Linked DNA regions of Ovis aries. The protein of the gene in region 1 interacts with the protein of each later gene in a biochemical or structural test. Links are inferred from orthologs where the notes say so. Each region holds a gene or a part of one and is shown in the gene's direction. Other genes may lie near its edges. The genes, in order: IKBKB, MAP3K1 and MAP3K14.

The links.
Region 2: of the proteins of IKBKB (region 1) and MAP3K1, one has a biochemical effect on the other in vitro, tested with the Homo sapiens proteins (3 studies listed by BioGRID and IntAct). The link is inferred for Ovis aries from reciprocal best matches to the Homo sapiens genes IKBKB and MAP3K1.
Region 3: of the proteins of IKBKB (region 1) and MAP3K14, one has a biochemical effect on the other in vitro, tested with the Homo sapiens proteins (3 studies listed by BioGRID and IntAct, with this or other methods). The link is inferred for Ovis aries from reciprocal best matches to the Homo sapiens genes IKBKB and MAP3K14.

The regions. Positions count from the first base shown.
Region 1 is NC_056079.1:36,485,300-36,495,001, forward strand, and holds part of IKBKB (inhibitor of nuclear factor kappa-B kinase subunit beta), read left to right. Parts: intron 1-1,032; coding exon 1,033-1,122; intron 1,123-3,733; coding exon 3,734-3,858; intron 3,859-7,141; coding exon 7,142-7,249; intron 7,250-8,697; coding exon 8,698-8,827; intron 8,828-9,048; coding exon 9,049-9,288; intron 9,289-9,702.
Region 2 is NC_056069.1:22,592,798-22,603,147, reverse strand, and holds the start of MAP3K1 (mitogen-activated protein kinase kinase kinase 1), read left to right. Parts: upstream 1-4,717; 5' UTR 4,718-4,742; coding exon 4,743-5,221; intron 5,222-5,486; exon of another isoform or gene 5,487-5,675; intron 5,676-5,893; exon of another isoform or gene 5,894-6,110; coding exon of another isoform or gene 6,111-6,289; intron 6,290-10,350. UniProt on the Homo sapiens protein: Component of a protein kinase signal transduction cascade. Activates the ERK and JNK kinase pathways by phosphorylation of MAP2K1 and MAP2K4. May phosphorylate the MAPK8/JNK1 kinase.
Region 3 is NC_056064.1:44,684,981-44,695,169, reverse strand, and holds the start of MAP3K14 (mitogen-activated protein kinase kinase kinase 14), read left to right. Parts: upstream 1-3,712; 5' UTR 3,713-3,799; intron 3,800-10,189.

The DNA.
Region 1 (9,702 bases):
GGCCCGCCTCGGAGAGGGGCAGGGGGGCGGGGGAGCTTGGGCTGAGCAGCTGGGGGCAGGCAGTGGGGCGAGGAATGTGCCTGCGTGCCTGCTTATGTTTGGGTTTCCTTGCTCATGCATTTGCTTTTGATTCTCTGGGAGCGTTCTTTGAATTGAAACAAAATCCAGCGCCAGGTTCTGGCTTGCAGGTTGAAGCCAGTTTGAACGGACCACACTGTTAACCGTCCCACGTTGCAGGAATCTGATAAGAAAAGTAGTGTTTGTCTTCCAACTGCCACCCCCTCTGGCCTTGGGGCCTCGTACTTCTTGGAAACGGACGTTTTTTTGTTTTCCATTTGTTTGGGAGCCTCAGCTTTTGAAGCTCACAGGGAATCCAGCTGTAGGTGGGTTCTGGATGTGGCCGAAAGGATGTATTTGGAGCTGTCCTGGTCCATCCTGCAGTTTGCCCAGAGCTCTCGAGGGGCCCCCGCCGCTCAGGTGTGGGGTCACCACCCTGCAGGGCTGGGCTGTGTTTGTTCAGCTGGGTGGTGAGCAGGGCTCAGACAAGTGGAATGCAGTCGCTCAGCCGTGGGCTGTCTGATCTCTCCCCCGTGGCTTCCGTCAGCGTAACCCACGCCCGTCCTGGCCCTCACCTCTGTCCCTGTTCACACTCATTCCCGGCAGTCCATTGGAGGTTGGAGAATTTAAAGTGTTTACTGAGAAGGAACCGCGCCTGGTCCTCCGAGTCACGGCAAGTCTGGGGTTCGCAGTCCCGACGGCCGGTGCGTGGTCTCCCAATTCTGACCTTCCTCCAGCAGGTGCTTGCCAGGCAAGGGAGGACAGGCGCCTGGCGTTTTTACGTTGTTTCTTTTGCCTGAACCTACTGCATCTAAGGCGTTCTCCTGCCTATTCGGCAGTCCTTAGGAGCTTAGGGTCTTAGCACTGGGAATTCAGAAATACACCCTCTGCGCCAGCAGAGGTGCTCAAGACTCTTGAAGGACAGCGGACTCGCATAGTCCTCAGATGTCTCTCCCTCCCTGCTTTTTCTTCTAGTTAATACACAAAATTATTGACCTGGGATATGCCAAGGAGCTGGACCAGGGCAGCCTCTGCACGTCCTTCGTGGGGACCCTGCAGTACCTGGTAAGAGGCGGGGTTCCTGGGTCTGCGCGTCAGCCTCTCTCGGGAGGCCATGGCCGCAGGGCTCTGCTTCTTTCCTCACCTTCTGCTGGCTGAGCTTGCCGGCTCTCTGGATGATTCCTGGATGCACAGGAAACACACTGGTGTGTGAGGTCAGACTCCTCATCCTCCCAGAGGCCCTGTGGAAGGGCGCGGTCATCCTCTTGTGTCTAAAGGGCTCTGCTCCTGGGCCCGTGCATGTCCTGTGACCTGCTATGCTGCCGTGTTTCAGCCCAGAGAGTGTAAACCAGGTTCCTGCTACTCCAAAGGGGCCTCCGTTCCCACACTGCATCTCAGGGGCTACGAGGAGAGGGCTGGCTTCCAGCTCCCACCCTTTCTTCTTCTTATTTGGTCTAAATATTGTGGCTCTATTTGAGTCCCCAATTCATCCAAGAAATACTGATCACCTGTAGTTTTTCCTTTTTATGTTTTATTTTTTTTGAGGGGCGGGGGTGCCACACTGCACATGCATATATTTAAGGGTTTTTAAAAAATTATTTATCCATTTTAATTGGAGGATAATTGCTGTACAGTAGTGTGATGGTTTTTGCCGCACATCAGTATGAATCAGCCACAGGCATACACGTGTCCCCCGCATCCTGAGTCCCCCGCCCACCTGCCTGCCTCCCCACCCCATCCTTCCAGGTTGTCCCAGGGCGCTGGCTCTGGGTGCCCTGCTTCATACATCAAACTCGCACTTAAATATATTTCTTTCTTATACTAAGAAAGCCACTTCGCTTGGAACCCAGTGCTTCCCAAACCTATCTTTCCTGGAAGCTCTTCCTCTCTTCCTGCAGACATGCTGCGAGTGTTGTTTTAGAGTTTAGGAGGAAGGCGGACATGGCCCTGATACACAGATAGTGAAGCGATTGGAGGGATGATAAGGACTGCTAAGGGAGAGAGAGCATGGGGCGTGGCGACATGCTAGGAGGGCCTGGTGCTGCCTGCACGTCCAGGGACTTGGGGGCGAAGAGGGAGTTCCAGGCGGTGGGGCAGCAGGAGGCACCCGGGAGGCATGGCCGGAACCAGAGAAGGAGGAGGCCATCTCGGGTTGAGGCTGGAGAGGAAGGTGGGGGACAGGTCATTCAGAGCCTCTCTGGTTGCGTTAGAGACTCCAGACTTGATCCTGAAACCTCTGGAGGGACTGTGAAGGGTCTTAGGCGTGAGAGGAACCAGGTTTACCTTTGGAAGAGACCACACTTGGCACAATGTGGAGGGTGAGTTGCAGGCAGTGGGCGAGTGGTATAGCGGCCGTTGGGGTGGGCTAGTCTGAGCTGGTGGGCAGCCATCAGGATGTGGAGGACGGCTCAAGAAGTGCCTGAGAGAGGGGCCTCTACAGGGAGCTTAGGACTCCGCACTTTTACCACCAAGGGCCAGAGTTTGATACCTGGTCAGGGAACTAAGATCCCACAAGCCACGCAGTGTGGCAAAAAAACCACAAGCAAACAAATAACAACAACAAAAAACACAAGGCCTGGAACAGGCTCAGCAGGACTTAGTGATAGATTGCATGCAAATGATGACCAGGAAATGTAGGCTGAATAACGGAGTCTGCAGTTCATAAAAGAAAAAGGAAAGAAAGTTGAAAGCCACTGGGCTCCATGGGCTTAAACAGGCTACCTGGGTCTTACATAAAAAAGAGAAAAAGCAGTCACTGAGGTCCTTGTGAGCGCGTCCACACTTCCCATTAACCCCCGCTGGGCAGTGGACGTGGTCCTTTTATCCCCTGCTCTGGGGGGGTAGAGGTTTCAGGGTGGGGACCTGGGGCTGTGACTCAGCACCTTTGCCCACGGAGTAGGTCCTGGGGGTCCTGCCCTGTGTCCTCTGGACCCCTTGTTGGCTCAGTGGCAATGAATGCAGGGCCCAAGCTCTGATGATTTGCGGGGCCAGAACTTCTGTCCAGAACCAGACACAGAGGCCGACCTGATCGTCCCACACGTTTCATCTTGGCTTGTGGTCCTTCGTGTCCTGCCTGCGCACCTCCGCTCCTCAGGGTCCTTTCTGGCACGTCTGCTCTCGGGCATCCCGAGCCGGCCACACCCCACCTGTGCTGGGAAGCTTCCTGTCACCCCAGGTTGACTGCTTGGGGAGCTGGCCTTTCCTGCTCGACTGTGACATTCTGTCCCATCAGGGACCGTGGACCTCGTTAGGGGGCTGGCCGGCATTCGTTGCATACACTATGCCTGGGTGTGTGTGGCCTGGATCACTTCCCCTGTGGTCCTGCACGGTGCCTGGGAGAAGGGTGCACAGCACACCTCAGCCCCCCCTCGCCCCTGCCGCAGGCCCTTGTTTCAGCCCCGGGATGGGATGAGATCAGAGAGTCTAGGTTCCACTGCCTGATTCGTGGCCACCTCCTCCCTCAGCGTGGGGTCCGGGGAGCGTGTGCAGGCCCGGATGCCAGGTGCCCTCAACATGGTGGCCCTCAGCGCAGGGTCCGGGGAGCGTGGGGCAGGCCCGGGCGCCCCCGCCATGGTGGCCTCTCAGTGCGGGGTCCGGGGAGTATGGGGCAGGCCCGGGCGCCCCCGCCGTGACAGCCCCTCTACGGCTCAGCTCGAGCGTGCCCCCCACCTCACAGGCCCCCGAGCTGCTGGAGCAGCAGAAGTACACGGTGACGGTGGACTACTGGAGCTTCGGCACCTTGGCCTTCGAGTGCATCACTGGCTTCCGGCCATTCCTGCCCAACTGGCAGCCAGTGCAGTGGTGAGTGAGCCGTGGGCCCGCCCCCCGGGAGGGTGTCCCCCGCCTTTGCCAGACAGCACCTCACCTTCCCGGTCTCGTGGGGTGCCCCAGGCCAGGCCTGAGACCCCTGTGACCTGTCACCCCGAGGAAGTCCTGTGGGGACCCGGCGTGAGCACAGCCTGAGCTCCAAGAGCCCTGGATTCTGAACCTTAACAGCCTTAAATCCAGTCCGTGTAAATGACTGCTCTGCGCAGGGCAGGAAGCCAGTGTGTTTACAGAGTGTGTGTGTGTGTGTGTGTGTGTGTGTGTGGTGGTAAACAAAAGGAATGTTCACATGACAAATAATGAGACGTATGTATGTGAAAGTTTATTGCTGACAAATCTTACTGCGCCTCAGTATAGTTTTTTTTTTTTTTTTTATATATGGTGGTATACCCGCTTCAGGGCTGTTCTCTCATATCATCCCACCCTCGCCTTCTCCCACGTAGTCCAATGGTCTGTTCTTGATATCTGTGTTTCTTTCGCTGCTTTGCAAATAGAATCATTGTTACCATCGTTGTAAATTCCATATATATGTGTTAATATACTGTATTGATAAAAGAATGAAACCAGAACACTTTCCAATACCATACACAAAAATAAACTCAAAGTGGATTAAAGTTCTAAACATAAGACCAGAAACTATGAAATTTGGTTTTAAAAGCATCAGACAGTGAACCAAGTACACTGCCGAAAAGATACTTTCTAATAAGGAATATGATCAAGGTTTTAAAAACTACTCTGTATTTTTAAACTTTTCTTCTAATTGTAATACTAATATGTGGTTCATTATATACATAAAAGTTAATCATTACTGAAACGCATCATTTAAAAGTTAGTGTTCCCTTGAACCAATTAGGGTTCATTCACAGTGATTCCTTGAGGGACCACACGCTAACTGAAGCAATAGTGCCATTGTCCAGAATTCTTTACCTCCAGTCTTAGTGTTTGGAGCAGCTCTAAGTTCACGGGATTCATCCTTTAGAAAGCAGAAGAGGGAAAGGTCATCCCTCGCCACCTGCTTGGTTCCCCCCGACCCACAGACGCCTGGCACTGTTGGCTTTGGGTCCACCTCGGGGATGTTTTGTACACCCACAAGTGAGCGGGCATGTATCTGCCCGCTGGCTCTTTGGTGGATTTCACCCCTTCTCAGCTCGGTGATGACGTCGCAGGCACGCCGCCCTGTGAGTGCTCCTCCAGGGTTTTACACTGAGAATTTCCTCCCGCCGCCGCTAACATTCCTCCGTCTCCAGACTCTTCTTCTGTGTGTCTGTGTTTGTTCAAAAAACAAAGTGGGTTACCATATGTACTCTCATAGAACCTGCCTTTCACACTTAACTAAAACAGCTCCGGGAAATCCCGGTCCATCCACAGTTATTTCCCTGGGATAAGTTCCTAGAAATGGGATCAACCTACCAGATCGTGCACATGTTCAAGGGTTTTGGTTTGTACTAACAACGTGCTCCACAGAAAGGTTGTATAAATAGCATCTCCAGCAGGAACATGCAAAGGTCCTCTCCCCCTGCCCCCTTTGTGGGGCAGCTCTGGCTGATGTCACGTTTCTCAGTATCTTCCTGGAAGTACCAAAAACACAGGCTCTCTCAAAGGACACAGGTACTGACATCATGAGAATGTTTATTTGTGAGACCAAGACGTAGTCTTTGAAATCCGTTCAAGAAGAGTAGCTTTCTGTGACGCAGTCCAGTTCGGTCACTGTTTACACACCAGACACAGGAAAGGATGAACCAGGCTCGGTCTCCGTGCCCGAGGGGCCTGGTGACGTGGCGGAGGGCGCCCTCCCGTGGAGACTTACGGTAGCACAAGCAGCGCCCTGAGCTGGGCTCCGCCGCGCTGACTTAGCTCCTTGCGTTAACAATCAGACCGCTTCAAACTGTACACGCGTCGTGTTTTTAACTTGCCAAGGGATGACTGCAGTTCTGTTCAAATGTTGAGCGTTTCCATTATTTATAGCAAGGTGAATCAGAATCCATCAGAACTAGAGGAAATGCCATTTGAAACCATCCCTGATGGCCCTGCTGTCTGCAGAGCCAGCCTCCCTCACGTTGCTGGGAGGCCAGGTGACCACTTCCAAGCACGCATCTCTGAAACCCGAGAGTCTGTGAGACGTGCCTGTCTGGTCTGCCTGTAATGCCTTAGGCAACGTCAACAATTTCACTCTCGTCTCAAACGGCAGATAGATAGTAATTTCAGAACAAATGCAATTTGAGCTTTATTATCCTATCATAAAGCTGCTTTGAAGGACCAGTCTTGAAAATACATTTTAGGACCAGCCTAAGCAGTAAGCGTTTCACTCACTGTGTCCTTTCATTTATCCGTGTAATTTCCCGTGGACAGACCTGAGTTTCTGTAGAGCACCATCCCACCGCGTGTGATGACAGTGTGGCTTCCGGCTGGCAGGTTCGAGCCACACCCTGGCTCTTCAGGCTCCGTGTGCTCCACGTGGGTCAGTTTACCCCCCCTGCCAATGAGGCTTCAGGCTAAAGCATTTTCCATCTGAATCTCTAACGTCTTTCTGGAAAGGAAGGATGCGGACATTCAGACAGAGTAGCAGGAGCGGCTGGGCCTGGCTCCAAGCCCCTGGTTCCGTCTTTCTCTAGTGGTGTGACTTCGGGCAGGCCATTTCCTCACCTGGTGAGGGTGGGGGATGGGGGGCTGAAAACTGCCTACCCCACAGAGGTCTCGGGTAGAGAAGGGTGCATTCACTGTCAGCGCTTGATTCTCTGCGAAGCGTTGTTCAGACTCCTGTCATCACCCTTGTCGCTGAGAATATGTGAGGCCAGTTTAAAATCTTTTTTCCTTAAACACTATTTCAGATACGTCTAAAGGGTCTCCTAGTTGGAAAACGTTAGCACTTCACTTGCCTTCAGAAGTCAGGCATAGCCATTGCATTTAGAGGGAAGTGCGTGGTGTGTGCAGGTGGTACATGAAGGGACCGTGGTGCAGACGTCCTGTCTTCATTCTCTGTGTTAGATGGAAAGTAAAAGAACAAGCCGGATGGGCCGGGGTGAGGTCAGGAGACAGCGGTACAAGCCCGCGGGTTCCTGACTCTCACCGGGCAGTACCGACGCCCTTAACCTCCCAAAGAAGCTTCCCAGCGGGTTGCTGGGCCTCACAAGTGGTTCAGTAGACCCCTGGGGGATCCTGTCTGGTTGTCAAGTGGAAAGTCACCCGTGTAAGGGGCTGTTGGACGCCCGCTGACATCAGGGTCACTACACACAGCGCGACAGTCCCCCCACGTCCACAGGCACTCCAAAGTCCGGCAGAAGAGCGAGATGGACATCGTGGTGAGCGAGGACCTGAACGGGGCCGTGAAGTTCTCCAGCTCGCTGCCTCACCCCAACAACCTCAACAGGTACGTCCCCGGCCTCTCCTCCTCCACCTCTGCGGCCGGCCCTTCCTTTCTAAAGATGGGGGTCGGGGCTGACGTCCGCGGCAGCTCTGACCCTGGTCCTGCCGTCGTCCATCTCGGTCTTAGCACACCGTCCCCACCCCACCCGTCTGGAGTCACCTCCTCGGTTCCCAGCACACTTGTCGCCCTCCTCACCCGTGGTGGCTCTGCCTTGCAGGCGTTTGGTCTGGCAGAGGGCTTAGCTCCTGGTCAGCCGTAAACCTCTGAAGAGTAGGGAATTGCCCCTTATGCTCTTTGCCTGTCCTTCTTTAGCCTGGCACTGTGTTTTTGCCAACAAATAAACCTTTGCATTTTGAACAGCATAGCAGTCTGGTCTCAGAGCCAGAATATGAGCCATCAGGTCATCTTAACAGAACTGGGAGATGGTTCAGGAGACAGCAGCTAGCAGCCCAACGCCAAGGCGCACGGCTCAGTTTCCATGAGTCTTTGGAGGACGGGGATGGGGTCCCCTGTGGAGGAGCTGAGCTGGAACTTCCTGGAAGGATCTGGACTGATAGGCAGGGCAGGTTGATGAAGAGGAAGGCTCTTCAAGGGGAAAAGACTTGGGGGCGGCCAGGGAGAGGCAGCGGGTAGCGATGTTGGCCTCTGGAGGACTTCTGTTGGAGGGCAGGGATGGGTGCTGGGGGCGCCCGGCAGTGCGGTGTGGACCCCTCAGACACTTCCCAGGAAGTGACTGACAACGTGGATCGAACTGGTGGTGTGGGGCGAGATCGTCGGGCAGTGCTCCTGCTGGGGAAGGGGGCTGCTCAGTGCCTGGAAAGCTGCCTGGAGGGTCTCGCATGGCCCTCTGCCCAGAGGCCCCCGCCGGGAGGGTGTTTGTGCAGATCCGGGGAGTCGGGGGGCAGGGGTCGAGCCCCCGAGCAATTCATCTTGTTAAGGGAAGGCTCACCCTTCCTCAGGGTGGTTAAGCCTCAGGGATCACTTTGGCCCCGAACCGCGATGGTCACGTGGGGCGGGAGAAGCGTGCGAGTTTTTCAGTACCCACGTGCACCGGGAAGCTGGTGCTGGGCCTCACGCAAATGCACGCACACACGTGGGATGGGAAGCTGGTGCTGGGCCTTGCACGTACACACGTACATACACACGTCTGGCGGGAATCTGGTGCTGGGCCTCGTGCACGTGCGTGGGTGCGCACACACGTGGGATGGGAAGCTGGTGCTGGGCCTCGCACACGCACATGCACGCACACACGTCGGGCAGGAAGCTGGCGCTGGGGCTCGCGCACACACACACGTGGGATGGGAAGCTGGCGCTGGGCCTCGCGCACGCACACACGTGGGATGGGAAGCTGGCGCTGGGCCTCGCGCACGCACACACGTGGGATGGGAAGCTGGCGCTGGGCCTCGCGCACATGCGCCCACACGTGCACACACTCTCCCCCTCCCCCTCAGCGTCCTGGCCCAGCGGCTGGAGAAGTGGCTGCAGCTAATGCTGATGTGGCACCCGCGCCAGAGGGGCACCGACCCCGTCTACGGGCCCAATGGCTGCTTCAAGGCCCTGGACGACATCTTGAACTTGAAGGTGAGCCTGCACCCAGTCCGCCCCAGGCCATGGGCCCCCTGACCCCTGTGAGGGTGTGATGGGACCCTTGCTGACTGATGGGTTGTGAGGTTGTCTCCAGGGACGCATGGGAGGGGAAAGACTCCGGGGGGCGGACCCCGGGCGGGGCCTCCGAGAAGCCGGGCCAGCAGGCAGGCGTCCCCGTCGAGCCGTGCCTCCCGTGACCCCCCGGGTTTTTGCAGCTGCTTCATGTCCTGAACATGGTCACGGGCACCCTGCACACCTACCCCGTGACCGAGGACGAGAGCCTGCAGAGCCTGAAGGCCCGCATCCGCCAGGACACAGGCATCCTCGAGGAGGACCAGGAGCTGCTGCAGGAGGCGGGGCTGGCCCTGATCCCCGACAAGCCCGCCGCCCAGTGCCTCTCCGATGGCAAGGTGAGCCCGGCCTCCTGCGGGCGCCAGGCGGCCGCCCATTACAAGGTAGGAACGCAAGATCCCGCGGACTTGGTAGGGGACACGAATCGCCCCGCACTGTACCTTCCAGACCACTGGGAGTGCCTTTTGCTTTTGCTGCCAAAGCGATGCTTCATTCTTCCACATCAACGGAAACTGTTTTTGACCCCGTCATGTGCGGTACCGTGCTGACCATTGCACAAAATTAGCCGCAAATTTAACACAGGGGAAGAGGCATTGGACCATAAAGGAGATGGCAGGCATCTGAGTGACACGGTAAAGACAGGATAGAGCAGAATGTACTGTGCTGTAGATGAGGTGTGCGTCAGGTCATAAGTGTAAAGGGAACAGCCAAGGGCAGTAGAGGCCAGAGCGCTGGGAGAGGCCTGGTGGGCACCTGGCACGTCCTGGCCGAGCATGCTCTGTAGTCTCCTGTTTCTT
Region 2 (10,350 bases), on another chromosome or scaffold:
AACTCCTGAGTCTTAGGTATAACGGCTCTAGGGCTGTGCTGTCTGATAACACTGGTCACTGTCTACATGTGCCTTTTGAGCATCTGAAATGTGACTCAAATGACGTTCGATATGTTCTGAAGAGTAAAAAACACACTGGATTTCAAAGATGTAGTAAAAAAATAATGACAAAATCTCATTAGTAATATTTTATATATTGATTACATACTGAAAAAGTAGTATTTTGGATATACTGTATAAACTATATTACTGAAATCAATTTCACTTGCTTCTTTTTAGTTTTTCAAATGTGGCTACTAGGAAATTTAAAATTACATATGAGCCTTGCATTTGCAGCTTGCATTACATTTTATCAGATGGCACTGCTCTAGTGGATATCACTTTTGTATACCTCTTTAGCAGTTTTGACTCCAAAACAATGCAAATCAATTACAAAATGAAGGCACAAATGTTGCAAAAGATGAAGAAGTTGACTAAACCACTAGAAGTGATACTAAACTTCCTAGATCATGTGTAAGTCTTGTCAGCATAGGATTTAGCAGAGTTGGACCAGTGGACCACAAAAGAAGAGAAAACCAACAAGGACACTGATTCAGAGAAAGAAATTGAATATTACAGGGGGACCTTGGAGAAATGTATGAAGTCTTCAAATTTTTTTTTTTGCAAAAATGATAGTAATGACTAAGCCATAAAACCAACAGAAAAAGAATATCGCTTTATACACCAAAAAAGAGCAACTAACGGGGTTCAACAGAATTCAAAGAATCATTCAGAGTTGTAAAGGTAAGTAGAACTTGGCTGACTGTGAGATAAATCAGATTTCATTGGTTGCAGTTGTATTTTTAAATATAAAATCCCGATTCAGCTGGCTTTCATTATTCACTACAAAAATTTAGTTTCTGATTTTAAATACTTGCAAATATAAGCAAAGTATTTAGATGGCTAGTTAATAAAAAGGAATGTCACACGTATATATAGTATAAACTATTTCCCTTTAGCTGAAAACATAAGCAACAGGGTTTTGCCTTGTCTAGTCTGGGGTTTTAACCAGTATTTGGGTGGAGGGCCTTGGTCTTTTGAGTATGGGTCCACTATCCAGAGGCTGTCTCACATCTCTCATGGTCTACTGTTTTCACTCTTATTTTCTTTCAAGCAAAGTGAAAGCTGAGAGACATATACCAAGTTCTTACAGATTTGAATGCTTTTTTCTCTACTCTTTCACAATCCTCATATCCGCAACTGATTCGACAGACATTCTTTTCTGTGTCTCGATTTCACTCATTCTTTGAAAGCATTTAACTTAGTTTTCATCGGAATAACTTTTTGTTTTGCACTTGCATAGTCATGTTTAATAGGACTTAATTAAATTCCATAAGGACAGTTACAGCAGCTATAGTCAGATTTGGAAACAAATATGATGGATTCGCTGGGGTCTGTAACTCACCTGATGGGAGCAGAAGTGTGCAGCTGTCATGAGCGTTCATTACGCTGCAGCACCCCTCTGCCTGCTGCACACCACACCAGGAGTGACGGGTATCTGTTACTAGATGAGTCAGCAAGTGGAGGTTGGTGAAGAAGCTTTCTACTATAATGTCACCTACAGTGTACTTGCAAAAGGTCAACTGTCCCATAAATGACAAGATTTCCCAACTTAGGATATCTGGAAACAGTTGGAAGCATGGTGTCTGGAAAGAGCACAGAGAAACCAAGTTCTCGCCCCAACTCTCCTGCAAGTATTCCATATTAATATTTATAACTCGGATAGGATACCAGCTTTTACTCTATTCTCAAGGTTATCTTCTTACTCTTTATGTCTACCTAAGACATAGATCTCACAAACACAGGAGTGAAACCCCACACACGGATGGATCTGAAATTCTAGCAGAGTCAACTTGATAAATACCCACTAATAAAAATATTTGCAAATGGATTGTTTTGTTTACTTTTATAAATATGAAAAACAACAAACAATATCTCAAGAGAAGAAAATTTCTTGTGTGTGCATAATAGGTATTTAAGAAATAGAAGATGAATGCTACACAGACTGCAATATTTCTGCCAGTCCCTATTAAATCTGTTCATTCTAAATCAGTGATGTTTATGCATAAGAAGGAAATGTACTAGTATTAAACTGGATCCTCCAAATGACTGAGATTCAGGAACTGAAGTATGACTTAGGTGATTCCCAGAAGCACTATGTGGAAGCAGTGATCTGTAAAATATTGAGGTAAAGGTTACCAAAGCTGTCATAGCATAAATGAAATTACTGCAACATTTGTGTCTGAGAGAGAATAGAAATAAAGAGGTTGGAAATAGGAACTGGAATTTTCAGTGTACAAGCAAACTTGGAAGAGTCACAAGTCTCCTTTATGTCATTAAAGAAATCAAATTAAGGCAATTTGACATATGCCTTTATGCAGTAATATAAAGCAGGACCCAGCAGCACCAAACTAGAGACAGAATTTTAAGAAGCAAAAAATTATGGTAGCAATTCCACAGGTTAAATTTTCTTCAAAGAAGACTTTATATCAACATATGATGGAGGAAGAACACCCTTTTCAGTCAAGCACATCCTTTATCATTCTTCCTTAAAAAATAAGTTCGTCAGGGCAAGGTGCATAATGACAACTTGAATATATACATAAAAGATTAAAGGGGGAAATGACTCAAAGCACCAAAAACCAGGTGAAAGACCAGCACTTGAGGTCTTGATGGATGGAGGCGAGACGGGGGCTAGTTGAGAGCACTGTGCTCTTCTCACTTGGTCTCGTTTTCATCACTGTGCACAAATGACGAGGCTAAAGTAAATGTTTTACTGGATCCCGTTCTGTTTTGCTACTCTGGCCAAACTTCAAAATTGGAACAATTTTGAAAAGCTGAAGGCATCTGCTAACTTTTCTCATTTACAGTTAACTAAGTACATGTGTGCAACTTTAAAGGTTTTCTAACCTAAATAAGAAAGAAACAAGTTTATCCTTCCCAACGTAGGTTTTAGTGGGTGTAACAATCCGGGAAGACCTAGGAAATAACTACTGTTTGCTTTGGATGATACACTTGGCTACCATTAAAAGACTGTATAATCATAGCCTAACTGTAGACTTCAAATTTTAACAGATTTATCTAAAGTTTCAAAATTTGTACCGTTGGATGTAACTAAAACTAGCTTATGGCAGACTTCGTAGCAGTTAACACGGAGCTAATATGAAATCTGAATCCGCTTTAAAAATCGCTCGGATATCACCATCCTCCTCAGTTACCATTTATAGCCAAGAAAGAGGTTTTCATTTTATCTGTTTCCAAGAAATCAAAGGAATTATTTTGTAGACAGTTTAGACTTTTGTCTAAATGTATGAATACCGACAAGTTAGCGCTCTCCTTTCTCTTCCTGAGCAGCTCTCTCTCTCCACGACACTCCCCCACCCTACCCCCGCCTTAATTCCTGTTTCACAAAGTAAATCTAGGGACTCGGTTCCGGGCTTGAGGGAGATTTCTCAGCACTGACACACCGGCTGGAGGAAAAGAAGGGAGGGGAGAAGTAAACGCGACAGGGAAGCCAGAAGAAAGGTCTAAAATCATTAACATGTAAATGGTGCTTTTTCCATTCCAAAGCACCTTATCGCCAGACGCCCTCAGGGACTAGCAGGGTTCGTGACGCCGCGCTGGGTAGCTCGGGCTCCGCGGGGGTGGGGGCGGAGGGAACCCGACAGGCAGCCCGACCCTGCGGGGAAGAGGGACGTGCAGCCAGAGGCATAGGGCTCGGGGAGGGTCAGAACCTGGCGGAGGATGACAGCAGCCAGCACTTCCTGGTTCCTTCCCCAAACATGCTGTGGTCCTGCGTTATCTGCCTTTCCCAAAGACAGCGGAGGAAAAAAAATTTATAACGATTCACCTCGACCACCCACCCCACCCCCCCGACCCCGCTGCCCGGTCCTTTCGGTCTCCCTCTAGCTGGGGGCGGAACAGTGGGTGAAGAGGGTGTCCCAAACCTGTGATTTCAGGTTTTGAACACGATATTCCAGAAACTTCTGTTTTATTTGTAGCACGATCTGGGGGTGGGCAGAAGATGAGGAAAGCTTTTTTTATATATAAACTTGGGTTCTGGGTCCGCGGCATCACGTCAGCTGAACATTGGGTTTCTCTTGCTTTGCAGCAGGCGACCGTCCCGGGCGCCACCTGCGCGTCCCGCGCGGAGTGGAGGCGGGGGCGAGGGTAGGTAGGTCCGCGCCCGGGTTCCCCGACGCCCACTGCAACGGGCACGCGAATGACAGACTGCAGGCCCTCTGGCTTGCGCCCCCTTCAACGCACCGTCCATCAAAGCTCGAATTGCAATTCCCTTAGGGCGAGCGCCGGCCGAGCCGGGCCGAGATTGCGGCGGAGAGGAAGCGGAGCTCTGCCACCGAGGCTCCTCCTCTCGCCGGTGCAGCCCGGGACTACCTGGCGGCGCGGCGGGTGAGGCGCGCGAACCCCAGCGCGCCCCCGCAGCGGCCACCTCGGCTGCCCGCGTGCGGGGCTGAGCTAAGAGTCCGCTCCCCACCGAAACCTGCGGCCCGCCGTCCTCCCCCCACTGAACCCAGCGCGCCCGCCCGTCCGTCAGTCCCGGCCGGGCGCCCGAAGGGCCGCGCTCACGCAGTTGGCGTAGCCAGCCCTACGCTAGAGGCGCAGAGCCCGCCCCCCGCCCCCTGCACTCTCCCCGCCCCCTCCCTCCCTCGCAGGGGCCGAGCGAATGTAGCCCGCGAGAGAAAATGGCGGCGGCGGCGGGGAATCGCGCCTCGTCCTCGGGATTCCCGGGCGCCGGGGCGGCGAGCCCCGAAGCGGGCGGCGGCAGAGGGGCCCTCAAGGCGAGCAGCGCGCCCGCGGCAGCCGCGGGGCTGCTGCGGGAGGCGGGCAGTGGGGGCCGTGAGCGGGCGGACTGGAGGCGGCGGCAGCTGCGCAAAGTGCGGAGTGTGGAGCTGGACCAGCTGCCCGAGCAGCCGCTTTTCCTCGCCGCCTCGCCGCCGTCCTCCTCCACTTCCCCGTCGCCGGAGCCCCCGGACGCGGCGGCGGGCGGGAGCGGTTTCCATCCTGTGGCGGTGCCGCCGCCCCACGGAGCCGCGAGCCGCGGTGGCGCCCACCCTGCCGAGCCGGCGGCCGCACCGGACAGCGGCGCCCAGAGCCCCGCGGGGGCCGAGCCGGGGGAGAAGCGGACGCCCGCCGCCGAGCCGACTGCGGCGGCCCCGGCCGGGTAAGCAGCGCGGCCGGGGAGCGGCGGGGACTTGGGGGGCGGGCGGGCTATTGCAATGAATGAACCCCGGCATCGCGCAGGACGTCCCGGGGCTCCGCAAAGCAAGGCTGCGCGCGGCTATCCGGGACCCGAGCTCTCGGGCACCCTCTTTGACCCTTCCAGCTTCGGGCGGCGCCCCGGACCTGGCCTGGGGGACCGGACGGGGGCCCGGGGCGGGGACGTGCTGGAGAGTTTGTTATTGTTTGCAGACATGTGACAGGCGTGCGAGCCGCGCTGCTTGGACTAGTTGAGATAAGGTGTGGGGGGCCGGGCTGGCTTTGTGGGGCTCCTGGAATCGGGGCTCTCCGAGGAGCCCCGGAACGGGACCCTGGCGCTGCCCTCCGGGTCAGGCTGGAAGAGGCGAGCAGCAGTGCGGCGGCGGCGACCCCGGACCTGAGTCCCGGGGCGCGCGGGGGTGAGGCCTGAGCCTGCGGGCGGGCAGTGTAGGTGGGCGAAGCAGGTGGGCAGCCCTGCCCGAGACCGGGTTGGAGGGCCGGAGGGCGGCGGCGCAGAAAGCGGTGGGGTCCCCGGGGCGGTGACAGGCAGAGCTTCCAGGCAGGTACCGGAGGCCGGGCCGGAACGGAGGCGGCGCGCCCCGAGCGCGGCCGCAGGGGGTTCCGGGTGGACGGCTCCGTAACGCCTGTCAAAGCGGTGCAGGGTGACGGGCTGCAAGCTCTCGGGGGCTTGCGGGGTATTAGGACGGAGAGTTTTCTAATCGCGTCCCCCAAGGGACTCCTAGTGTCCTGGGGAATACAGACCGCAGCACGGAGACTTGAGTGACTTCTGTTTGGAGTTTGAATTTGGCCTTTGAAGTTTGCATTTGGCGGAGTGGTGTAAGAGCCAGGACCGGATGTGTCAGCCATTCAGTTGCAAAGCGGTAGTGCCTACTCCCCGCAGCCTCTCCGGAGTGGTTGGGGACCGCGGCGCGGGTGCGGTGCTTCCTGCTCCCTGCAGCTGCGCGGGCCGCCTCGGGATTCCAGGGGACCCAGTGCGGTGTGCTCCGGGGCCCTGGGCTGCCTGCGCGTTACGGTATGTGCAAGGTAACTCAGGCCAGCTGTTCCTGGCCTGGCTCTTTTTTGGCAACTAGAAATTTGTGTTTAAGGAAATTATTTTAAATGTGACAGCCATAGTCCTTGTTTTTGTTTGCTTTAAAATCTAACTAGTGTATGCAGAGCACAGGTTTGAGGGGTATTTTGAGTTGCTGGAAATGTTGTGATAGTCACCCGTTTCCCTGTAGGGCTTCCTGACCTTTATTCTGAATGTTTTAGAGACTGCCTTGTAGTGGTTTCCCTTGTGAAACGAATTTGACAGTAGGAATCATTGGCTTTCGTTAATTATCTGGTGATTTGGCACTTTTGGGGGCAACTTGATTCTATGTTTAAAACCGCAGTTTGTTGATTGCTACTTAGAAGTTGGCCCCTCTCTTTCCCCACCTCTCGGGGGAGGGGACCCTAAAAATGTGGTCAGCAGTGTGCCATGTTGAGAGGAACAGGGACTTGTGACTGTGCTGGTTTTCTGTGTGCACTTGTACATGTAGCTTAGTCTTACAAGGGTTATGTTTCTCTCTCTACACTACTGCTTCTTTGCAAATTGCATTAGAACTTGACTGGAATGATTCGTTGTAGGCGATTGTTACTACAAGTGAGGTCCAGTTAAAGATATTAAACCCTGAATTTGAGAGGTGAATTTTGTCTTATTCCCATGATACCAAGTTTTTGGATGCAGTAAATAATTTAGCAAGCCTCAGCATTCTAGGCATCTTAACGAGCTATGAATATAATAGAAGAGGAACCACTGTAAAATTAATGTATAGATGTTTAGTGTTGTCTCCACACAAAATAAGAGGACGAAAGTGAAAGCAGATAGAATTCAGGGAGTGAGTAATCCATGTTTAATTTTTGCATTTTATAACCTAGTTTTCCCCCTCCCCTTTTCTGAAAGGGTGGATTATAATTGCACAGTATATGAAATAATAGACTAATCGGCAAAATCATTTTTTAAAATGAATTTCGCTGGCCAGAATGCTGTTTGTTCATCCCAAATGTTATACATAAACATTTCATTTATAGTAAAATATTTATTTTCTCTACTTTTGAAATAGTGAGTTTTTTCCATATTTCCTTGTTCATGGGGTTGAAATTCATTTGAGACCGTTGGTATAAGCACTTTGACTGTAAGGAGGAAAATTGCAATTGAACTTTAGTTTTTGGATAATAGTTACATTCATACTTTAGAAGGATCATCTAACATCAAGATTTTGAAATATTTTTATGTTTCAGTAGTACTGTACATCTTTAAGACCTGTCATATTTTTTTAAAGAGAATTCCTAAAGTTTTTAAATTTCATAATTCCTCCAGTTTTTGAACTTTGGGTGTAGAAATTGAAATTGTGGAAAATACAATTTTGTAGTGTAAGTAATATAAATAATATTGATATTAAAAATAGAAGATTTTAAGTCCACCCCTCTTTTTCAGGTTGGTAACTGAAATCAGTGAAAGTTTCTTGCCTGTAAGTGGCGCCCAAGGGTTTGGGATTTTTCCTTCTAATACAGAATTAGGGGCTTTTTCTTCCTATTTACTGTCTTTGAAGAGAAATTACAGTGTTACTCTCCATTGAACAGGCTATTGTGAGTTTGGTAGATATAATTACTCCATCCTATTTTTGTAACTTAAAAAAAAAAAAAAACCTAACTATCAATTTGCTGGCCCCATGAAAGAACAAGATATGCTGTGCTTGTTAATGTTAGTTTTTCCTTAAAACTGAAGCTGTTTCATAGGCTGCTTTTATATCCTCATATAGCCCTCAGCTTTCACTTCCTTTTAGAAGCTTCTGGACTAAAAATATAATTCAGTGACTTTACTAAAGGAGGTGTAGGAAAATTATTGCCCCCAAATAAGTTTTTTTTTTAAAAATTGGTGGTTTTATAAAATGACAGAAGTAGTTACATAAGTTAGTCTTCCATGAATTTGTAAGTTTTGTAGTTAGGAATTGTCTCCAAGTTTTATTTTGAATCAGGTAAGAAAATGAATGCATTCTTCAAAGATTATTAAATATAATTCTGAAAGGGAAATATTAGAACTAGAATTGTTGCCAACTTTAGTTTTCTTTTCATATCTGATTCTGGCATGAGTGACTGGTTAACCAACATTCCTTAATACATTATTTCCAATATGCTATAATAACTCTATTTTGCTAGATTAAAAAAAAACAGGAAGTAGCTCTGTTCATTGATACTCTTTTTCACATCTCCTATACTACCTCAAGCATATGTTGCACATTTTAGAAATGGTTGCTGACTTACTGACTTGGAAGATTTCAAAATATGGAATGAAAGGAGCGTTCTTTGCTTTCAACAAGAGCAAAAGAACCAGCTACAGCTTGCCTAGGCTGTCTGCTGATCAGCCCTTGACAGTTGCTGGGAGCATTCCAGAAGAAATGCTGGAGTGGCTGGGGCAGTTAATAGGGAATGGATTCCCCTGAGGGAAAACATGGGGCATTCAGAAGTTCTCTGAGTAAGAAGGCACAACTTTTGCATTTTGTATCCAGATTTCTTGGGTTGAGGGTTATTTTTCTTTGAGGAAGGCAATAGGAGAATGTGGCATGGAGAAGCATTAGTCTCCAGAGGCTCCTTAAGAGCTGCAGTATTTTGCACTTCTAACCTTGAAATGCCTTGCTATATCAGATGTACCAGGTATATTCCTTAGACTTGGTTGTTTTCTTCAGTCCTGGCCTCTGTTTATAATCTAAGCTGAAAATTAGTTACTTTAAAATGTAAATGGGTAAAAAAGATTAATGTGAGGAAATATGCACTATTAAGAATCAACCCAAGTTGTTTTTAAGAAATAATTTAAGAACATTTTGAAACGCAAAAGAAATAATCAGAAACAGAATTGAAGTAAATGTTATTTAGAAATCCTCACTGCAAAGCTAACTGCTAGTTGGGTGTTCTTGCAAGAGAATAAGAGGATTTTTGCTGTGGTTAGTAAACATGTTCATCGATCAAGTAGAAGTACTTTTATATAGTCACTTTTCTTGCCTTCTGTGTGTCAGGCAAGTTATATATTAGCTCATTTCATCATGTCTGCAGCCTTCCAGAGTGTTGTAATTTTCTGTTTTCAAGAGGTAGAAACTCATGTGTGATGCTAAAGCCCCATGATCACACGACTGGAAAATAGGCTAGGCTTCCAGTCCATGACGATCTCACTGCACAGTCCATTTCTTTCCATCCCTCTCTGCTGTCTCCACTTTCTTTTACAAATTAATGGCCAGATTAATGATTTGAAGGAGGAAGTTGTCCTTCAAGAGTCAATGTGAGAATGATAGGTTTCTACCCAGTGCCATTGCCAATACGTTTGTCTCCTGATGTGTCCATAAAGCATGATGTTTGTAACCTGGCCTCATACATGTAATACAGGTAAACTGTGCTTAGATCACCTCATCATGTTAGGCAGGGAGAACAAATGATTTGTACTTAGATCGTTTCATTGTGTTAGTCAAGGAGAACGGTTGGTGAGTGTTGAGTGTTTCTTAGGTTTCTTGATTTGTGTGGTTTATAAGTAGAAGGAAATAAAGAAGCTAATATAATATCACACATTCATTTTAATCATCACACATGGAAACTGTTCCAGTAGAGTCAGATCCTCTCCGTTTGTACTTGTTTTAGATTTCATTCATCCAACTTTTATGAATCTCTGCGAGGTGATTTTCTGGGTGGTAGAGAAAAATGTCATCAGTGCACAGCCTCTGTTTCTGCTGGCAGATTGTATTATGAAGAGGTTTCACACTACCATGTTAAGTGTTGTGAGAGACATGGGAATAGAGAGGAGCACCTAGATTAAGGATTAGTGCTCTGAATCTCACCCACAGCATTTCACACTGTATCTCTGCAGTGAAAACAGTAGTGCTTCCTTAGCTTTCTGAGGAATGATTGACCTCTCAGGACAGTAGTTAAAGGTGGAAGCTTTGTTCTGCTTTCTGCTTGTACCTTTGGTCTGCTAGTTTTTGCTCTTTCCCTTTCTTAGGACAGATATATACTGTAGCTTTTCCATATCCACAGCAATGGCAAATTCAGGTGCAGATTACTTTCAAA
Region 3 (10,189 bases), on another chromosome or scaffold:
AATGCCTGAAGACATTTTTTGTTGTCACAACTGGGTGTAGGAGGGTGGTGTTACTGGCATCAAGTGGGCAGAGGCCAGAAGAGCTTTTTTCTTTTTTTAAACACGGGATATAATCTCCCTTTTTATTTTTTATCTATTTTTATTTTAACTGCACTGGGTCTTCATTGAGGTGCATGGGCTCTCTAGCTATGGCGCTAGGGCTCAGTAGTTGATGCAAGCATACCTCTATTTGTGTCATGCAGGCTTAGTTGCCCCGCAGCATGTGGGATCTTAGTTCCCTGGCCAGGGATCAAACCTGAGTCCACCTGGTGGATTCTTAACCACTGGCCCTCTGGGGAAGTTCCCAGAAAAGCTATTAAAAATCTTATAATATATATGATGCCCCCCCCAACAACAAAGAATTATCCAATCCAAAATGTCAGCAGTGCCAGATTGGGAAACCCTGGACAGAAGTGAATATTTAGCAAGGTGATTATGCATACAAAGCATTTAGAGGGACTTCCCTGGTGGCCCAGTGGCTAAACTGCTGCTGCTGCTAAGTCGCTTCAGTCATGTCCAACTCTGTGCGACCCCATAGACGGCAGCCCACCAGGCTCCCCCGTCCCTGGGATTCTCCAGGCAAGAACACTGGAGTGGGTTGCCATTTCCTTCTCCAATGTATGAAAGTGAAAAGTGAAAGTGAAGTCACTCAGTCGTGTCCGACTCCTAGCGGCCCCATGGACTGCAGCCTACCTGGCTCCTCCGTTCATGGGATTTTCCAGGCAAGAGTACTGGAGTGGGGTGCCATTGCCTTCTCCGGTGGCTAAGACTACACATTCCTAATGCAAGGGGCCCAGGGTTCAATCCCTGGTCAGAGGACTAGATTCCACACGCTGCAGCTAAAGATCTCTGGCTCAATAAAAACAAAAAAATTTTTTTTAGGTTTTTTAAAGCACTTATAAATAGCTGATTTATTTTCTGTAAGCTCTCATAAAACAGAAGCTGTTATTCGTCTTGGAAAAGCAGTCTTGCCCTTCCATTTCCAGACTTGAAACATGGAGGTGAGATGTGGAAATCCTTGACTGCTGAGAACCCAGCTCACTGCTCCAGGTGTGAGTCACCCCACAAATACCAGTTTATTTTATTTCGGGCAGAGCTGAGACTGCACAAGTGACTCGGGGCTAGAAACCTTCCCAGGTTGTCATGACTTAGCTGGCTGGGCTGGAAGGAAGTCATTTTACCCTGAAGCACTCCTTCCAAAAGATGCCAGCATTTCAAGGCCTGGAGTCTCTGTGGAGCTCAGAGTGGATGTTATGCTGCCTCTTACCTCAGCCCACACACAGTGGATCTTGGAAAGGCCTGAGGAAACTAGCTGAAAAAACCACGAGGCCCCGCTTGCCCCAAATCTCTCCCTCACTAGCCTGTAGAGGCTCGCTCCTCTCCTGCAACCTAATGTGAAATTCCTTCTTGGAAGTTGCAACTCTGGATCAAGACATTCACTCATTCCCACTAATACACATTAGTGTTAGTGGATAGATTTTGCTGTTGTTGTTCAGTCGTGTCCAGCTTTTTGCCACTGCTGAGTTTTCGAAAGCTTCTGGATAGATTTAAAGGTAGATCATCTTGATTGCAGGGGGTGGGGGGTGGGGGGTGTGTGCAGGGCTGGGGTGAGGGCATCCCACTGACCCAGAGAAGCGTCAAGGGAAGCTGGGTAAAGTACATGGGCACTGGGTGTCATAAAGAAGGAACAGTGCAAGAGGCAGAAGGCTAAGGCGGGTCAGGGAATGTGTGCAAACTCTGGCCCTGTGCCCATGTCTTTCCTGAGAAGCAATATGCCCAGAGGCAAACAGGTGGTGGAAGAGGCAAGCTCTGCATCCAGGCTTGCTGATAGCAACCATCTGGCCAAGCTCTGCCTCTCCCTGACTCACTTAAATGAAAACCCTGGGGTTGGAAGCAGCTTTAAGGGGCCCCCAGCTTCTTCTTTACCCATCATTTCCCACACCAGTCAGTAGCAGAGCCAGTTTATGCAACGGAGACTATCCAACTCCGAAGCATGGGCTCTATTGGGACCATAACCCCGAATGTCTCAGTAGCCAGGCAGATGACATAGGTTAAGTGGTTGAGAGCAAGACTGGGGGAGGGAGGTGGGGGTGTGCTGTGAGGAACTCCAGGCTCTGCTCTAAGGCATGCAAATTCAATTTTAAGAAAACATTGCACCAGCCAAACAAAACTAATCTATGGCCTGAGTGAGTGGATGAGGCCCTGAGGTTAAGTTTTCTGCCTGAATGAATGGTCTTTCCTATTCCCCTCAACCAAGATGTCTGCTAGAGGCAGATCTCCAGAAACATACATCAAGCTATGAACGACTGTCCAAAAAGTGGTCCTGCGACTTCTCTGACACCCCCATGCTTAAGACTCCGCATTTCCAATGCAGGGGGCATGGGTTTGACCCCTGGTCAAGTAACTAAGAGACCCCATGCTGCGTGGTACAGACTAAAAAACAAAACCTGAGCAGGTCTTTGCTCCAAGGCTTCCAGAGATGGGGTAATCCTTATTTCTCCAGACGGCCTTGAATGGGGCCTGCTTACCTCTACCACTAGAGCCGCTTACCTCACTTGCCTGCCCTAGACCACTGATGGGGGTGGAGTGCCCAGGTACCGGCGTATCTTTTATTTTGCAAACTACTTTTTAAGTGTGGAATTTTTTTCTTTATTATAAATAAAAAACAAGCTCACTGTGGAAACACTAGAAAATTTGGAAAAGCAAAAGTTAGAAAAGAAAAAATAGTCACACCTCCCTAAACCAACTCCCCAACCCCTTCGCTGCCCCATCCCCATTCAGAGAAGCACTGGTGACACCTTGGTGCATATTCGTACTCCAAGTCCTTTTTATACATAGGTAAAGCTCTAGTCTTCTTTCTGGCTCCATAAACCCAGCGAGGAGATGCTTCACGCAGCGCTCACACCAGGTTACTTCTCTGACTGTGGGACGGGATTGCACCACGCCAGCCGCACGCTCTCACCAGACAAGGGTTTCAACACACAGGTGTAACCTGTATAAGCCTTTAACTCCGCAAGCTTCTCGAAGGCAGGCACTATTTAAGCCTCAGAGACGCTACAGCGCCAGGTTCACAGTAAGTGCTTAATAAAATGTTTCTAAATACACAGCCCCGCCCCGCCCTGCCCCTCTCCCCCCAACTGCCAACACACCTGCCTCAGCCGCCAAGGCTTGGAGCAAAGAAGAAACACAACCAAAACCTGGGGAGACGGCGCTTCGCGGTCTCCTAGGTAACCAGGTCTTAGGCTGGGGAGTGCCCATGCATGCGCACACTGGCCCTTCCTTCCCGTAACCTCCAGAGGAACGCAACCAGTAAGACTGCCAGAAGCCGAGCGCGCATGTGTGGTTCCACCAACACCCCGACCGCCTCCGCCTTCTGTCAATCCGTCGGCCCAGCCATCTCTTTGCTATAAACACTGTCCGGAAATAGTGCCCATTTCTGGAAACAGGGCCTCGTTAACCAATCGTTGCTTGGGGCGGTAGGAAGGAACTGGCTGAGACGCGCCGTCTCATTGGAAGATTGGGGAGTGGGCGGGGCCAGAAGCTAGGCGCTGCCAAAGCAAGGAGGCGCGAAGCGAGGCAAATTTGCTGCCGCGGGTGGAGGCGTGGCCCCGGGGGCGGCCGGGAAGGCGGTGAAGGGGCGGGGTCCGGGGTGGGGCGGGGCGACCGTGGGCCCAGAGAGCAGCGGTCCGCGACAGGCGGCGGGAGATCGAGGGCGAGGCGAGCGCGACACTCGCTGGTGGGGGAGATCGGCGCTCGGCCGGTAGGTGACTAGAGCGAGTCCCGGGGCGAGGGGCAGAGAGGACGGGTCACTCCTCAACCCGGGGCCGGGCTGCGGCCTGGCCCGCCGCATCGGAATGGTGGGGTCGGCGGCGCGGCCCGGGGACCCACTCGCGCCGGTCCTCGGCTGTGGCAGCTGGCCGCCGGTGCGCCCTCCCTCACGCCGCCAGGGCCACGGTCGCACGCCGGCCTCACCCTGCACACCCGCAGGCCACACGCTCCCCCGAAGCGCGCGCAAGGGCCCCTTCCTTCCCTTTCCCGGACACCCCCGTTTCCCCGCGCCAGGCTGCTCCACCGCCCAGGCCTGCCCGTCCTGCTCGGTTCCCTGGATGTTCTCCAGAAGGAGGGCTTACCTCGGCACTGGGCTTAAGGTGCCGAACGCCCCAGCGCGCCGGGTCCCTGCGTCCTCCCACCTGTCCAGGCAGTGAAACCCTCAGGTCTTTCCTGGGAAGTTCTCGGGGTCACACCCCGAGCCTGGGAGAAGAGATGGAGCCTCCGATTAGCACCCAGCGGGGCAGTGCTGGCTGGTCGCAGCATCCTTTCTCTCCCTGACTCCTCGATAATTCTTTCCACTCCACTCAGGACTTCCTCTGTCGGCTCAGATAAAATATCCCATCTTGGAAGTCCATCATGGTCCTGGCAGCCTGCAGCCAGAGGCACCAGGCAGAAGGAGGCCCCGTGTAAAGAGCCCCATTTGCCCAGGAACCTCCTCTGTGCCGGGTAACTTCAGGAAAAGCAGTTTGTTTCCTAACTGAAGTTAGGATGTGGCTCTCAGTCCTAAAGGGTGGACTAGGGAATGAGTAGAGAAAAGAGACAGAAATCTGTGATATAAATTGTTTTAACTGGAGGACAATGAACCCTGTCCCTTGATGATGAACTCAAAAAGCAAGTGAAGTTATATGGTGAGAGGTGGGATCTGATACAAAATAGCCTTCTGAAGTTTATTCCAGGAATAAATGTTGAAAACCCCTTGACTAGAAACATAGTCTTTCTGAAAGATTAGAAAGAGATAGTATCTTAACATTAGTGATGTTTTTTTTTTTTACTTAGTGTCTTCATACCTGTAACCCTTTTCCTTCAGATTTGTGTGTGATAAGATAAATAATATTGTCCTGTTTTAGAGGTGAGGCACCTGAAGCAGGTGTGTGTTTGGCAGGGACTGGAGGCGGGTAAATGGCTCTTGCCCAATGCCTCACAGCTGAGACTCAGGGTGACGACTTTAATCTGGGCCACTGGAATCTTTCCCCAGCTCCTTTCCCTAAAGCAGAACCACGTTATGGAACTTGGATGCAGGACATGGGGAGAAATATTTGGTGTGGTATTTATGCTCTTAACATGAGAGAACAGGTGCTTGTCTCACTTACAAAGTGTTTGGATTTACTCTTGGTGTTTTTTAAGTGATGTCAAAGTCCGTTCCTTTGGTGCAGTGATGCCAGACCTCTGAGATTTTCAGATGCCTGGAGGACATCCTCTTTTATTTTGAAGGGTGTGGCAGTGAACTTCTCAGAAGGCCTCAAAATAAAAGTACTCATCTCTGACTTTAATTTTAGAAATCTATACCCAGGTATGTGTTCCAGCTCTTTTGTGAGACCAGACAGCAGTAAGCCACCAAGCTTCAGTCCCCTTCTGACTGTTTTCAGGTTATAAGGAGTAGTTCTGAAAGGGGGTTTTTCGCCCCTGGTGCTGTCTGTTAGAGTTTGTGGGAGCAAGCGGTACCACAGACAGAGACCCTGCCAAATGAACCCTCATCTATTAAACAAAAATGTCTGGTTGGCCATTTCGCCTCCACAGACGGAGGTTTGGTTCCTCATTTTGTTTCTCCTATTGAACACTGACTCCATTGTGATCTGCTTGGAGTGTTTGTGTATCACTGAATGTTGAGAAGCGGGCTTGCCCTGATTGGTTGTCCAACTCCAGGCAACTGTTGTGGTTTTTGTTTGGTGCGTGGTAACGGTTCTTCCTGGCCAGGGTCTGGTGTGAGATCTGCAGAGATGGGAGATGGGTAAAGACTGACCCAGGGCTGTTCTCCTCGTTGTTGGCACCCTCTTAAGGGTGTCCGATCACTTTGGCCTGCGACGTCACTTTAGCTTCCTATTTTTTTTCCTGTCTCAAGGGACAGCACATGAGCTTTCCTAACCGGCCTGCCTCCCTTGATGAAGAGCTGAGAGATTCATGTTGGTTGACCTAACAGATGGTCTTTCTGGGAGGGTAGTTAAGAAATCTTAAACCAAGTTCGGCCCTGAATTAAAAGTGTAAGTTAGCTTGATACACACATAGAGAGCCTCTTTCTATCAATGGCTTCCATCATCTGAGAACTGTTTTTTTTTTTTTTTTTCCTGGCAAAAGGTTAAAATGCAACTAAAATTCTGCTTTCATGATTAATAAGTCACTACCGCAGTTGTATCTGATGCTTCCTGTTTGCCCCATTTTAGTATTTCAGTTAAACTGGAAACATCTGAGCCTTATGGGCACTTTGGAAGACACCAGTGTGAAAGTGGTGGTGGAGGGGGGAACAGTTCCCTGTCAGTGGATTTGGGAAGCTTTAAGGATAAGCCTGCTCCCCCTAGCCTCCACACACTGAGATCCCTGGGCAGGGCAAGTAGTAGGAGTTGAGCACCTTCAAGGGGTAGGTGAGCTTTTAAATTGATGCACGTGTGAACGCTCTGCATTTGCTGGGTGGTGCTGACTGAAATGTTGAAAGCAGTCGATTAGAAATGGAAGGCCAAACATAGGGCAGATGGAGTAGTAGAGCATTTCAGTCGAGCTGAGCGAGGCACTGAACATCTGTTGGCTTTGGGGTCTTCAGTTCTAGCCTTGTCTTAACTACTTGAGGGACCGTGCAGAGAAGACTCACTTTTCCTCAGTGCCCTGTGTGCCCTTCACTGTATTCTAGTTTAAAGGCTCCCCTTCTCGTGGTGGCCAAGGCAGAGGTGGGGGTGGACATGTAGATTGGGAGTTTGGGACCATCAGTTACAGACTCTTACATACAGATTGGATAAACAACAAGGTCCTACTGTACAGCACAGGGGGCTATATTTAATATCCTATAATAAATGATAATGGGAAAAATACATATATGTATATATAAAACTGTATCACTTTGCTATATACTAAAAATTAACACAACATTGTAAATCAACTGTATTTCAGTAAAAAGATCCCCTTCTCTTCTTGCTATTTTGTATGTTTTAATCTCTTATCCTACTGGTATGAATCCCTTGAGATTATATGACATTGAGAATAATGATACCTCATGGCCATTCTCTGTGTTTTCTCACAGTATTCCAACAAAGGAAGGCAGGGACCAAGATCAGGAACATGAAGCCTAGTAAGGAGAGATCAAGTGGATGAGATTACTCAGGGAATCAGTGTCATGTCCAGAATCTAAACCCACATTTCTTGACATCTAGTTCAATGCTTTTTCTACTAACTTACGTATAAAAGGATAAGTTGGGAATTTTTTTGTTTCCAAAACATGTCCATTTTGAATATAACTAAACCAGGGTAGCTGCTTTATTTTTCTATTTACGTTCACAAGGATTATCAAGAAGTGTTATCAGAAGTGTTATCAAGTAATTAAGAGTCGATACTTGTTATCCATAATAATTATTACTAAAAGTCTGAAAGATAAAGAGCACATCCTCTGGTCAAGCCTGCTTATCCCTATTTTACAGATGCAGAAAGTAAAGCAAAGGGGTCAAGCAACTCGCCCAGAACAGGAGAGCCAGTCCACGGCATCTTTGTGCCCTGTGTGGGGGGTTAGGCTGCCGGGTCAGAGAGAGAGCCAGGTCGGGTCCAGGTCTGCCACCGTCTGCCTGTGTGACACCAGGCAAATCAGTTCACTTCTCTAAGCGTCCGGTGCCCCATCTGTAAACATTTCGTGGTGTTGTTTTGAGTAGAAAATGAGAGAATATATATAAAGTGCTGAGCTCAGCACGGAATAAGCCAGAAGACACAATGGCTGTAAATGTGGCTGGTGGTTGTAGTGGTAATCGCAGTACTGGTAGTTGGCAATTACCACTTTGACTAGACCTGTTTTCTGTAAGATGATGTCAGGAAGGGTCAGGCTGCCTGACAGGGCCTGTCATTTTCTCAGCAGAACCACGAGTGGGACATGTCTTCTGTCTGGAGGTTTTAGCTGTCATGTTCTCCCTGTCTTACACTAAATTCTGCCCTCATCACCCTCCAAAGGAACCTAACAAGGCTCCAGCTCTGCCTGCTCAGAGCTGGCAAGCCTAAACCTGGGGCACCCTCGGCCACCACCCAGAGGAAGGTACAGCTGTGCCTTTCTGGGGCCCTCCTGTGTCCCTCATGCAGTGAAGTGGGTGCCAGCCTTAACTGTGGAGGGGAAAAAAGGAAAATACTGTGTAGAATATAAGTCAACAAACACTTGTTCCTCTCTGGGAGAGTAAAAGGGAAGCCTGGGTCCTGTGGGGCAAGGTTCCCACCACCGTGTGGCACCCTGCCCTTTGTCATCTTTTCACTGGTCTGGGGGCCCTTGATCCACAGTCAGCAACTCTCAGATTTCCCTTTAAATCACCCAAGGGAAAAAAAAGCAAAAAAAACAGTTTCACATTACATTTTAAATTATTTTTCTCCCCCCTCTCTTAATAGAAAACAAAAATGCAAGCTCCCACCAGGCTGATGTCCCCTTTAAATAACATCTTGTTTTCTCTTGGGGAAGCTGTCTTCATGGCCAGAGAGTCATTTCTAAAGTGAACCTAGTTTTTAGAAAAAATAGATCACCGGATGTCAAGCCTCGTGTGGAGCTAACAGTTCAGATGAAAATGAAACCAGCAGGCCCGGAGTGGCAACTCCACACTTGACTTCAGACTGGAGGTGAGAGGCAGAGTGTGTCTGAGCCCAGGTCGGCAACTGGTTGGCCCCACAGACTGCATTTGATAGGTGCCTTAGTCATTTTCCAGGCAGCTTTGCTTAGGTGAGCAGAGCACTTTCTCTGGAAGGTGAGTCACACTTGCAGGGGTGTAGGTGACATGCGATTTATTCCCCAGCTCAGTCACAGGAAGTCTTGAGCAGACCTTGTGGAGAAGCTGTCTGCCAAAGCTCATGTTCATTTCAGTCCAGGGGCTTTGGAGGCAGGGGGGATAAGGAAGCCAGCTAGGGGCTCCCAGGGCTTGCCAAACAACAGAAAAATGGCTCCTCCAGCAGGGGGTCATGTGGACCCGGCAGAGAGCCCAGATCAGCAGTGTCACCACGCTCTTGAGCCCAACCACCTTGAGGGTGGAAAATGGCCCATTTCCAATGACAGTCAACAAAGAAGCCAGAGGAGAGCTTTGGCTCCAGGGAGCTGGGAAACCCCTTGGCAAAAAGCAGAAAGATACAAACCACAACTTTGGTGTGAAAGGCCTTTCGGGGAACCCTTTTCTACCTGCTTTCCTTTTTACCACCTGAGTTGGAGGCTCTGAAGAGCTCCAGGGATCAGAAAGGCTGGATTGGACCTTGGCTTTCAGGAAACTTGCGAATTCTGAGCCTGCCACACCAGTGTTTGGATTCAGAAAGATGCTGCAAAGGAGACTCCTGAGCCATCTCTTCCACACAGTTTCTGGTTGCCGGCCTTTCTGCCGACCCTCTTAGCACTAAAGCCATGACCAGGTATCCTTCAAGGCACAGGGTTTGTTTCAGACTCTCTGTCCTGGACCAATACAGTTGGTGTTGAACTTATTGCTGAAGGTCAGAGACCTCTCAGTGTCCAGGTGGGCTTGACTTTATTGAAACCACAGGGGAAGAGCTAGTGTTATCTTGTTTCATTTATCCATCGCAGGCTCCTCTCCAGCCCCCTGCCCACACCTCTTCCATCTAGACTAGCCAGCAGTCACTTTGGGTGGGCGTGGCTAAGTGACCTTAGGCCTGAACCTCTCTGTCAAGAAAGAGCTGCTGGGCTTCCCTAGTGGCTCCGTGGTAAAGAATCCACCTGCCAATGCAGGAGACATGGGTTCAATCCCTGATTTGGGAAGATCCCATATGGCAACTAAGCCTGTGTGCCACAACTATTGGGCCTGCGCTCTAGAGCCCAGGGGCCACGATTGCTGAAGCCTGCGCACCCAAGAGCCCGTGCTCCGTAGCAGGAGAAGCCGCTGCAGCGAGACGCCCGAGCATCGCAACCAGAGAGTAGCCCTGTTCACCGAAACTAGAGAAAGGCCCATGCCGCAGCAAAGACCTGGCACAGCCAAACAAATCAATAAAATCATAAAAAAATTTATTTTTTAAAAAGAAACTGTTTTGAGTTACAGCCTGGAAGCAATCATAACCGTTTACACACTTCTCTGTTTAACAAAAGAGAAAATGGTGAACTCAGGAAGTTAAGTGAGTTGCCCAGGGCCACACAGCTAGTTAATTGCAGGATCTGAGCTAA